Rattus norvegicus: one gene and its partners. The protein of the gene in region 3 interacts with the protein of the main gene of each other region in a biochemical or structural test. Links are inferred from orthologs where the notes say so. Each region holds a gene or a part of one and is shown on either strand. Other genes may lie near its edges. The genes, in order: Eif2a, Tarbp2 and Eif2ak2.

Region 1 (4,346 bases), on a different chromosome or scaffold from region 3:
AGATAGTAAATGCCAAAATAACAGAGATAAGAAAAAACAGCAACAAGAGGAAAAACAAGACCCACATAAAACACACTCTCTAAAGGAAAGAATTTGGGATTTCTGTTGGGAGTGCTGGCCAAATAAAGAAAAGTTCTTTTCTTTAGAGTCACTTAGCTGGTTGAATATCTGCCTGAGGATAAATCTGTCTCCTTTAATAAAAGAAAAGCAAGAATCAGGAAATAGAGAAAATAGGTATTTTTTGGTTATGTGAATACTTAAATTTATTAACATTAAAGCTTTTTAAAACAAGTGTTTAAAAACTCAAGTTTCACGTGTTTTGGTCTTTTCTTATTTCTGACTTAGAGTCATAACAATAAAATTCACTGTTAAGCTACAATTACTTACAGGTCTATAAATCTTGGAAATATACATTAAACAAGATTTAGGATTTTAAAATTTTACTTAAAACTAAGAATGGTTGAAAGAGTAAACTGTGTTCTACTGGTAGATAATAGACCATGGAATGGAAATATCTGGGTATAATCCTGACACTGCAAATATGTAATGTAAATCTGGCCAAGTAATCTTTGGGTATCTAAGAATATGATACTATGAGAGTGTGTCAGAACAAAGACTTTAACTTAGACTCCTGTGAGAAAAATTGTTACTCTGTTGATTTGATTAAATACAATCTACTCTTCATTAGTTAATTAGTTTAGTGTCCTTTACTGGGTTCTGCATTAGGTGCTGAAAAGGTAGAGATGAATAAGACTTTACCCCAAACATCAAGAATTTAACAGTCTATCAGGGAAGGAAAATAGCTGAACAAACAGAATTTCCTTCGTGATAAGTGGAAAAGTAGTGAAAAATAGCTCACAAAGCAACCGTCCAGAAAGTGTGGGAAATTGCTTTAAGTAGCGTGCCAAGTCAACAGAAAGAATAGGATAATTCCAAAGAATAGCTTAAAGGGCTGTGACAACTCAGTACTAATGGGACACAAAATAAGGCGGGATGCCCATGCAATATGTCAAGAGCTGTTCTAGGATTGTAAGAGATCCATATGCTGGGCTAAAGAGGATGGATTTTACACTGCCTCAGAAGGGCAGAACATTTAATCGCTTTTTAAAGTAAAATTTAAATATTCAGTTAGTATTAAACCTCTAAACAAAGTTATCTTTATGAAATTAGAGAAACAACTGATTTAATTACAAAATCATGCCATTTAAATAGTGTCAGAGGGCTGGAGAGATGGCTCAGCATTAAGAGTACTTGCTTTTCTTCCCGAAGAAATAAGTTCAGTTCTCAGCACTCACTTAAGGTGAGGCCCACAACTCTAACTCCAGCTCCAGGGACGCCCACACTCTCTTCTGGTACTCTTAAGACCTGTGCTCCTGGGCTGGAGAGATGGCTCAGAGGTTAAGAGCACTGTCTGCTCTTTCGGAGGTCCTGAGTTCAATTCCCAGGAACCACATGGTGGCTCAAACCATCTAAAATCAGATCTAGTGCCTTCTTCTGGCCTGTAGGCATACATACAGGCAGAAAGCTGTATGATATATACATAATAAATACATGTTTAAAAAAAAAAAGACCCGCGCTCTTGTGTACATGCTCAGATACAGACACACAAATAAATAAATAAATCTAAATATAAGAAAGCAATCTGTCGGGTGTAGTGTTTAGAAGATTATAACTAGCATTTTATAAATATTTGGTGAATAAATTATGGTAGTCTAACTGAACACGAGTAAGCACGGATCTTAAAGTGTATTCCTAGACTGGCAAGAAGTATAACAGTTTTGCCATGGCTCAGAAGGACGTAACTTCCAATTCACAAAAGTAAGACTTATGTCCTAGTGATTTTATCTTTCTTCCTACATTGTTATCAACGTTTTTTTTCTTTCCCAATTCTTTTCTATTTGAATTCTTTTGTTTATTCAAACTTACACACCCAAGCCCTACCATAATATATCATAGCACCTTTCCCGGTGTTGTCCAAGTTTGTTTGTTTGTTTGTTTGTTTGTTTTTAAAGATTTATTTATTTATTTTATATGTATGAGTATAACGTAGCTGCCAGACACATCAGAAGAGGGTATTGGATTCCATTATAGATGATTATGAGCCACCATGTGGTTGCTGGGATTTGAACTCAGGACCTCTGGAAGATCAGTCAGTGCTCCCAACCGCTGAGCCATCTCTCCAGCCCTGTTTTTAAGCACCATAATCAGTGTCAGCTTCAAATTCCCAGAGTCTTCTACTGTTCTACTTCAATTCTCACAACTGCTTCACCTGAAAACATTAGACTATCATTATCCTGCTTACTTTTGCCACCCTAAGCCAATCTTCATCATGAAATCTAACTTATACTAGCAATGCCTTGCTCCCTATCGAGTTCCACAAACCTCATAAAAATAGGGAGTACATAATTTTTAAGTAACATAATTACTTAAGTTCAGATGAAATGATGTGGAGTCACGTTTCTTCTATTATATAGGCAGATGACTTAAGAAGGGTCCGAGCAGCACCAGTATTACAGACCAGAAGTCACACATCAAAATCGTACTTTCTGTTACCTGTCTATTCCTATAGAAGTTGAAGAACGACGGATGGATAACTGGGAGGAGGGAATATTGGAGACGGAGAATTCACTTCCCATTGGCGTGCTATTGTCAAATAAACCAAAAGACAGTCTGGTCCTTCCAGGAGAAAATGCAAGCCAGACTTCCTAGGTCTGCTAAGTAATTCTCCAGCACGAAGACACAGAAAGAAACCACTGTAAAGAAAGAGTCTCTCGCGCTTTCGGAACTCACCTGTCAACAGCGGTGTGGACGGCGCCATCTTGTCCCGGAAAGAGAAACCCATGCGCTGGGGTGAGAGTTCAATAAAGGCCGAACCCGGCCTCTACACGTCTCCCCAAGCACAGTGACTGCGAGTTGGTGTTTCCGGCGCCGCCAGCCTCGGGGCCAATTCACTTCCGGTTTCCGAGTGCGCACGCGCAGCTCTGGCTCCTCGCTTTCCCGAGCGTGGAAGGGCCTGGCTGCAGCGGCGGCCGGCCCTCGCCCTCCTTCTCTGGAGCGGGCGGAGTCCATACTTCCGCGGGGCGGGGTCTGCCCAGTGCTGACGTTGGCAGCCGAACCCGAACTAGTTCGAGGTTGCCGGCTGCACTGTCGGGTGGTTGGACTCTTTCCTCCCGGTCCTGCGGCCCTCTTTCTCCGGCGCGCCGCCCCTCGGTTGCTCAGACCGCTGTGATCGGAGGTTGCCGGTGCTCCAGCGCTTGGCGTCCCGGCCCAGTGGCCGTAGGCGGCGTAGGCACCGCGAGCCGAGCCTCCCGGTGGCCGGGGAACGGCAAGCGAGCGAGTCCGAGAGGTTCTTGGGGCAGGTGGCGCCGCGAAGATGGTCGCCAAGCAGAGGATCCGTATGGCCAACGAGAAGCACAGCAAGAACATAACTCAGCGCGGCAACGTCGCTAAGACCTCGGTAAGGAAAAGCGGGCACCCTTCTCCATGCTGGGGCCGGGGGCTGAGGCCCGCGCCGGGGCTGGGGCCGGGGCCGGGGCCGGGGCCGGGGCCATGGCCGCGGCTAGCTCTCTCCAGACCCGCCTGACTCCGGACTCCCGCTGCGGTGGAATCTAGGGTGGGAGGAGAGATCTGTGAGTTGCTGGTCTGGCCATCTGGCCTGGGGTGCAGGCCATGGGAGTCCGGGATCCGAGAGTGGTTTCTCTGCATTTGAAACTGGGTTTTTCTTTTTGCAGAGAAATGCCCCCGAAGAAAAGGCGTCGGTAGGACCCTGGTTATTGGCCCTCTTCATTTTTGTCGTTTGTGGATCTGGTAAGTGTTTGGGGGCTCTCGTGGTTTGGAATGACGTGGATGAGTGACGAGTCTTACCCGCGTGGTTTTCAACCCACCTGCTGAGAATTGTTTCTAGTGAACCAGATTACTTGTACCACAGAGTGTGGTGCCCCAGAAATTCTCTTATCTTGATTTGTGTTCATAGAAGATCAAAAAAGAGATTATATCTTCCTAATAATCCCTTAGAAGAAATTAAACACCAAATAACTCTTGGCATGAGTGATTTGCATTGTAACTATCAAAAATAACTTAACGAACATTGTGAACATCTGGATACTAAAGCAAGACTGAACGGTACCAGCATCCAAGGTCTCTATGTCAAAAAGTATATAAAGTAAGACTAGCACAAAGAACTGATTTTTCTGTAGAGGAAACATACCTGTTTAAAAATTTAATGTATGAGACAAGTGTTTTCAGGTAAAATTAGTTATTTAAGACAACCTGCTCTTAAGGTGACAGACCTTTGCCTCTGCAGATGTATTACAGAATGCCTTTCTGCTCTGTGTGTCACTTTAATA
Region 2 (4,332 bases), on a different chromosome or scaffold from region 3:
ATAAATTACTTCCTATCCCAAGCTTACCAACCAGCTGGTGCAAATTTTTCAATTATGCCATTCTCTGTTTACTCTCAAGCTTCCTCATCCTGACCTGCCTGGGTTCAAGGGCTATAAGACTAGAAGCCAAGACCCCTTCCTTCCTCCAAGATGTCAGGGGACTGAAGATACCTGGTTAGTAAAGCAGATGGAACAGGGGCAGCAGCTTCTGCAGCAATGACAGCAGTGTCCTCAGGCACTGAAGAGTCTAGGAGAGAAAAAGAACTTCCCGAGGGGAAGAGGGCCTTGGATTCACACCCACGTAGAAGGGAATGAGGGTGTGAGGTCCTTCTGACCTTTCCATCCCCTGAGAACTCCTTCCCCCTGATGTTGACTCGGAGAGCCTCAACAACAGCTCTTCCTCCTGGGATCCTCTGCTGACCCACACTGGCTCAGAAGCACTGAGGTAGGGGTGGGGAGCTCAGAAAAGAGAGTCTCTTCCTACCCAACAAGCTGCAACCTGAATGTGGAAGAGGGAAACCCATCTTGCTAGAAAGGGGGCATGCCGGGACTAACTTATCAGTCTTAGCCTCCACCCCCTATGCCCTATCTCATGCCCCAGAGCAGCCACCACCCATCAAAGGGGCTGGCTATTACCCTGAGGCATCCTAGAATACCCTATTCAGCTTTAAAGGAAATTCTCAGGAAGGAGCCACGAGAGGGTGGCCGTGAGTCACCAGACCAGGCTTAGGAGAGAAGTAGGTAGTGCAGAGGCCTGGGTTCTCAGCAGGGCTTCTAGTGTGCCTTGGCTGTTCCTCCCTCACCTGCTGTCCTCCAGGGCTGGTTCCAGCATGCTCCCCCCTTTGAGGTGTTTGAGGGCCACCTCAGCTGCCTTGTGCTTGGCTGCCTTCTTGCTGGGGCCCTGACCTAAGAAAAGGGGTGTGGGCAATACTGGAGGTCACCGGCAGGACAGCAGAGAAACCAGCCCCCACAGTCTCTCTCACACAGTCAGAAGGAGTGAACAGTCCTCTGACCAACCTCCCCTGTCAGAACTGGAAAGGCTCTAATCATTGGAATGAATAGCCTTTGTCCTAGTTAGCTTGGCACAGCCTAGGATCATCTAGAAGGAGAGCCTTAACTGAGGAATTGCCTAAATCAGCCTGGCCTGTGGGCATGTCTGGGGGACTGGGTTGACTGCTAATTGATGCAAATATGCCCAGCCTGCTACTGTGGCACCATCCCTAGGCAAGTGGTCCTCAACTCTGCAAGAAACCTAGCAGATAAATAAGCCTGCCAACCAGCATGGGGTATCCACCATTGTTCCTGCTGTGCTCCTATGGCTGTGAAGTGAGTTCCCTGGTCAGAGGTGGCAAGGATGAGTTTATTTTCTTTGGTCTTGACTGATAATGTGAGTTTCTACCTTAGCTTCCCTCGATGATGAATATAACCTGAACTGTAAACCAATCAATCCTTTCCTCCTCTAAACTGCTTTTGGTTAAGGAGCCTTATTACAGCAACATAAATGAGACTTGAACACCCCATCTCTTCCAGTCAGCTCCTGTAATTTAAACCCTGCAGGCAGGAGAACTTCTGAGCTCCAACCCTGGTGGGCTGGGGAGAGATGTTTCACTCTGTCTTTCTTCTTTTCTCTTCCCTCAGTAATGGGAAAGAGACAGCAGAGGGTCTGTTCTAAACTCTGAGCTTTGCTCTACCACACATTAGGCATGTGAACATGAGCCAGCCATGTGATGATCCCTCATACTAAGTTCTTCACATTCAGTGTGAGGCATGAAGGCTGGCAGAGTGTGTGCTTGCTCCCCCTAATCCCCACAAAGAGTACAGTGTCTTCCTCTGAGGTGATAAAGTAGCAGACCCCTGTGATATTTCCAGTTCTCGCCACTGAGTCTCTCAGGTCCTGTCCACCTTCTCACAGCCCTGTTTAATCCAAACGGTGGCTTTCCCCCTGAAATCTCTCCATCCCTCCCTGGCCTTACAGGAGAGGACTGTGAGGTGATTCCATGATATTAAGCCACGGGCCCTGTGAATGCACACCCCAGCCAGGCTGCCCAGGCCTTCCTCACCAGTGCAGCTGGTGTCGCCAACGGTGACCCGGAAGGTGAAATTAGGTTGATGGGCTTGGCCCTCGGCTTTGAGAAGGTCGTACACGGGCGTCTTCCCTATTCTGGTCCCATACTCCTGAAGAAGGCTGATCGGGGTCTTGCCCGGGTTGGCGGCCAGCATTTGCTCTATGCTGGGGAGGGGCACAGACCAACATCACACTTCCCCTTTCGGCACCCACCTGGCCAGTCACTGTCATATTAGACCTAGCCACATTATAGGGTTCATGAGTCCCCAGGCAGTATAGCATCCATCGACTGGGTTAAAAGTTATGATGCAGGAGGGAAAGCAAAGTCCCAAGGCAAGTGGAGAAGGTACTGTTCTCAATTAAGGCGAGGGATCCAGTGCCGTAGTGCTGGTTGGACGTGCATTTCCCCCTGGCACAATGCAATTCGGAAACCCAGTACCCACCAAATACACTGAACGTCGGGGCATAAAGCCCAGGGCTCCAGTGCAGTCTGGGAATCAAGCCAACCCCAAACTAAAGCTGGAGGCTGTGGCCACAGCCCCAGTGCATGCCGGGAACCTCTGCCCACTACCCCAGTGCTTGCTGGGAACAACCCTCAGGCCAGGTGCATGCTGGGGCCGCGCCGCTGCCCCTCCGCACCACCTCACACTTTTCGTCCTGCAGGAATCCAAGCGAGGCAGCTCACCTGGGCAGCCCGCAGCCTGTAGTAGAGCCGGAGCCCTGATCCTCTTCACTCATTCCCTCCTCCGTCCCCGCGGGCGCCACCGTGACTACAGTCTCCACGCACCCCAGTACACCGCCGACGAGCTAGGGCCGGGGCCAAGCCCGGAGTCGCGGCCGGTAGGGCCCGCCGCGGGGCATGCTGGGATCTGGAGTCCCCCGCCCACCCGACTCCTTGTGTCTTCATCAGGATCCGAGCTACCCGCCCCACAACCCTCAGCGAGGCTCGCCCGGGCATCTGCACCGCCCTCTGGGAGGAGCAGACCCTCCGCGGAAGCGTCCCAAGCTACGAGTGGTTTTTGTTTTCTAATATCACCCCGCCTTCCTCCTTGCGCACCGCCTCCTCCCGAGCCGAGACTGTGAGCATGCGTACTGGCCGAGTGTAGGCGGCCGGGGGCGGGGCGGTAAGGGCTGTCTCCCAGAGAGAACTACAGATCCCAGGCGCCCACGTGCCATCCGGACACCACTGCAGGCTTCGCTGCCTCATTGGTTCTACCGAGAGCGACTTTCTCTAGGCGTTTGCAGATTGGTCACTTGGCCCAGAGGGCGGAGACGAGGAAAGGTATAGCCTTCTTCTTGAGGAAAGGCTGTAATTGGCAGAGAGGCTGCTGGCGTAGTCCTTTTGCTGCCCCAGAGGGTGGGCCTCACCTGGCCACCCTCACCCCAGAGCTGTAGGGTTTTGTAAGTCAGAGTTTTCCTCAGAATTGGTCTCTCAGGCTGGAGCATAATTATCTTGGACCCTCAGCCCTCCGCGTCAAAAAAAGGAAAAAAAAAAACCGTTGCTTTTCTGTGGCTTGCTCTTCGCCTCTCTTCACTAACTTCACGCAGCCTGTCAGGGTTTGTGCCTCTTTAGATCGACCCTAGTGAACCTCTCTTTAACTGCCCGAGAATCATTAGGAGGACATTCTGCTGTGTTTAGTATCAGCTGAAAGAGCACAAGAGTAACTAACGAACTAAAATACGCGCAGAGCTGAACGAGTACTTTTGGATTTCCCAAAGCCTTGATAACCACCAGAGTGAAAGAAGTAGGGGGAATCTTGTGACCTTGGACAGAAGGAGAAAGAGATACCACGAAAAACGCGATTCAAATGGGTCTAGGATGAGATGTCTTGCTAAGAAGGGATAGGGTTAGAGGTAAGAGGAATCTGTAAAGATGATAATGAGCGATCGGTCGACCAGGAACACTGAGGTGGGAAGGGACCTACGACTGGGTGGATTCCAATTGGGTGAAAATGGAGCAGCGACGAGGGAAGGCCAACTGGAGATATCGGTATGACAAGGGACCAGTGCCAGAGCGTTGTGTATACTGAGGGGCTGCGCTCTCGAGATATAAGAGTCTGTAAGACAGGTCACAAGGGGTTCCTACAGAATCCGCATGAGGACCAAAGTGGGACTGCCGTAGGACACCTCCAGGAAGGAGGCACAGGGTCGTGGCCCGCCAGGAACCAGCCTGGAGAGCGCCGGATGGCAGCCTCGGGCTCCTTTAAGAGGCCGGCGACTCCAGCGCAGCATCCCCCGCTCAGGGCGTGTCCGTCCCGGGGGGCCAG
Region 3 (2,876 bases):
CAGGATTTCAGACGTATTGGGTCGTTCCCTGGGTTTACTTGAGAGTAATTTCTGTAGAAGACTTTTCTGTTAATTAGAGTTAAGAGTCAGTTATCAGGAAAGAAAAGAGTGGGAAAAAATTAAACTGGCTGCTTTCAAGTACTCACTTCCTTGTTGTCGAAAATATCATCGGAGAAGACGCCATTTCTTAGAAGTTGGAAAAACTGGAATACAACGAATAAATGTATTTACTAAGCAGTCGTTTGCATAGGAAGAAAAACTATAAACACAGGAATAGCTGGAGTCACACTAGATTTCTAAAATTTAGGGTGGTTTCCTTAGTCTAAGAAGCAGACAAAATGCCCCTCCCCAAGCCTACCCCAGTCTAGGAGCATCCTCAACAGTCAGTGCTTTGAAGTGCACGAAACTCATCCCTCAGTCCCTCTGTCTCGGAACGCTAGGCAGTACATCCTTCCATCACCTCTACTTTAGGGAAGATAAGGCTCTTGACTCCAGGCAAGCCTTTTTTTTTTTTTTCCTGAGTTTCCAACTAGGATGTCCAATCGCCTGCTGTCTCCAGGGATTCCCCACCATCTACACGACAGAGTCCAAACTCTTTCCAGCCCCACCTGGGGAAATCACCAGCTTCAGATAAGACTACACCGCCCGTTAGTCCCAACACACACTGCTCATTCTGATCTCCGTGCGGGGTAGCATGCTTTTTATTTCAGGTTGTTAGAGTGGATTAACTCTGGTTAGAGGTCTTCTGACTGCTATGAGCATACCAGAGCATGCAAACACATGTTTTGTGTGTATGTATGCATATGCCTTTAAATAACCCCTCCAAAAAACAAACAAAACAAAACAAACAAACAACCTGACCCTTCAGTACCCAGCCTACATGTTTCCATGAAACCTAAATTCAGACTTCTGGAAAGATTTTTCTGTCTTCTAAAAATAGCCATTCTCTGATGTTATCTTTCTTTCCTCTTACAAGATGAATCACTTGAGAAACTGGCTTGCTCCTTTTTATATCCAGGTAGCACTTAGAGCAGAAACTCCCCCCTAATCAGTGAGATTTGGGTTGGCAAACTTGAATGGGAATCCTATGGGCTATGCACATACTCTAAAGAAAGCCAAACTTTTCAATCTAGAGCAAAATGGCTGGCAACACTTGAAAGAGAAGCTAATGTGGTCATACACCCCCTCACCAAACGGCAATAACCGTAGCACTTACGGGTTGTCAATGCTTTCACTTCCTTCATTCATTGTTGGGATATTTACCTCTATTTTCTCTGAATCAGTTTTGCATATGTGAAGAAGTTCAGCTAGAATAAGGCCCAAAGCAAAGATGTCCACTTCCTTTCCATATTCCACTAACGATGACTGAAAGCCAAAAATACATGTGTCTTTGTTACTCATTTAATATAAGCCTCCATGCCTTTTGAGGAAAAAAAATAGCTATAAGTGGTATATTACATTAAAATGGCTTTTGAACATTTGTAGCAGATGTGACCTTGGTCTTCATGGGGGTACCCTATCGATTGGAGCGCCGGCTGTCTCTGACTCCTTAGCCTTGCACTGGCTCCCCTTCCCTTACATGAACTGCTGGGCCTCAGAGGGAGAGGATAGGCCTAGTCCTTCTGGGACTAGATGTCTCAGGGTGGGTGGTGCCCAAGGGAAGCTTCCCCTTTTCTGGGGAGAAGGACAGGGGATAATGGGAGAAGGGATTTGGAAGAGCTGGACTTGGGAGAGGTGTAGGCTATGATCGAGATCTAAAGTGAATCAACATAAATAAATTATTGGGGAAAAAACAAAAAAAAATGCCTATTTATTCTAGATCTCATGAAGTTGAGCACCAAGATTAACCATCACATAGAAATAGAAGGAACACAATAGAGGCTATAAAACAAACCTACAGCTAATTACTTACTAAAGAGCAAAACCAAGAACATTTCCACCAGCACTAAGAGTAAGACAACGGGATGGACTTTCTCCACCCACATTCAATCTACTTCTTGAACTCGTAACCAGACAAGAGAAGATAGAAAAGAAATTCAGACAGGAAAAGAGGCCAAATCCTCATTTGTAAACAATACAATCCTGTACATAAGAGACTCTAAACTTTCTTTTTTTTTTTTTTTTTTTTTTTGTGGTTCTTTTTTTCGGAGCTGGGGACCGAACCCAGGGCCTTGCGCTTCCTAGGCAAGCGCTCTACCACTGAGCTAAATCCCCAGCCCCGACTCTAAACTTTCTAACAAAAACTCCTAACTGACTACAAAGTCAACATCTAAGAATCCTGGTTTAGGACTGGAGAGATCACCCAGGTCTCGACTTTTGCAGAGAACCTGAATTCAATCCCAGCATCTGTACGGTGGTTTGCCTATCTGACTCCAGTTCCAGGGGATCTGACACTCTCTCCTGGCAACTGTGGGTACAAATACATTCAAACAGGCAAGTTCATACACAGGAAATAACTTTTTAAATGAGTAGGTTTTTTTTCTGTTTCATTGATGAATATGCTAAAAGAATCAATTCATCTTATTGACAATAGCTTCCAAAAAATTATACTGTGCCTGGTGGTGCACACCTTTGATCCCAGCACTTGGAAGGCAGAGGCAGGTGGATCTCTGACTTAGAGCCAGCCTGGTCTACAGAGTGAATTCCAGAGCAGCCAGGGCTGCACGGAGAGACCTAGACTTCCTATGCTGGTGAATGAGCAGAATTAAAATATTGAAAAGTATTATAGTGCTAAAGGTGACCTACAAGTTCACTATAAACCCCATCAAAAATCCAATGACATACTTAACAGGAAGAAAAAAAAAATCTTAAAATTCATAGGGAAGAATAAAAGACCCATGGAGAGCCAAAAAAATCCTAAATAGAAAACACATGAC

The links.
Region 1: of the proteins of Eif2ak2 (region 3) and Eif2a, one has a biochemical effect on the other in vitro, tested with the Homo sapiens proteins (4 studies listed by BioGRID, with this or other methods). The link is inferred for Rattus norvegicus from reciprocal best matches to the Homo sapiens genes EIF2AK2 and EIF2A.
Region 2: the proteins of Eif2ak2 (region 3) and Tarbp2 form a complex in vitro, tested with the Homo sapiens proteins (2 studies listed by BioGRID, with this or other methods). The link is inferred for Rattus norvegicus from reciprocal best matches to the Homo sapiens genes EIF2AK2 and TARBP2.

What each region holds. Positions count from the first base shown.
Region 1 is NC_086020.1:144,909,848-144,914,193, reverse strand, and holds the start of Eif2a (eukaryotic translation initiation factor 2A), read right to left. Parts: upstream 2,835-4,346; 5' UTR 2,819-2,834; coding exon 2,791-2,818; intron 1-2,790. Other genes in the region: Serp1 (stress-associated endoplasmic reticulum protein 1), read left to right, coding at 3,374-3,457, 3,732-3,807. UniProt on the Homo sapiens protein: Functions in the early steps of protein synthesis of a small number of specific mRNAs. Acts by directing the binding of methionyl-tRNAi to 40S ribosomal subunits.
Region 2 is NC_086025.1:135,526,284-135,530,615, reverse strand, and holds the start of Tarbp2 (RISC-loading complex subunit TARBP2), read right to left. Parts: upstream 2,907-4,332; 5' UTR 2,804-2,906; coding exon 2,751-2,803; intron 2,231-2,750; coding exon 2,061-2,230; intron 907-2,060; coding exon 804-906; intron 265-803; coding exon 172-264; intron 1-171. UniProt on the Homo sapiens protein: Required for formation of the RNA induced silencing complex (RISC). Component of the RISC loading complex (RLC), also known as the micro-RNA (miRNA) loading complex (miRLC), which is composed of DICER1, AGO2 and TARBP2.
Region 3 is NC_086024.1:21,972,067-21,974,942, reverse strand, and holds part of Eif2ak2 (interferon-induced, double-stranded RNA-activated protein kinase), read right to left. Parts: intron 1,366-2,876; coding exon 1,264-1,365; coding exon of another isoform or gene 1,217-1,263; intron 204-1,216; coding exon 147-203; intron 67-146; coding exon 1-66.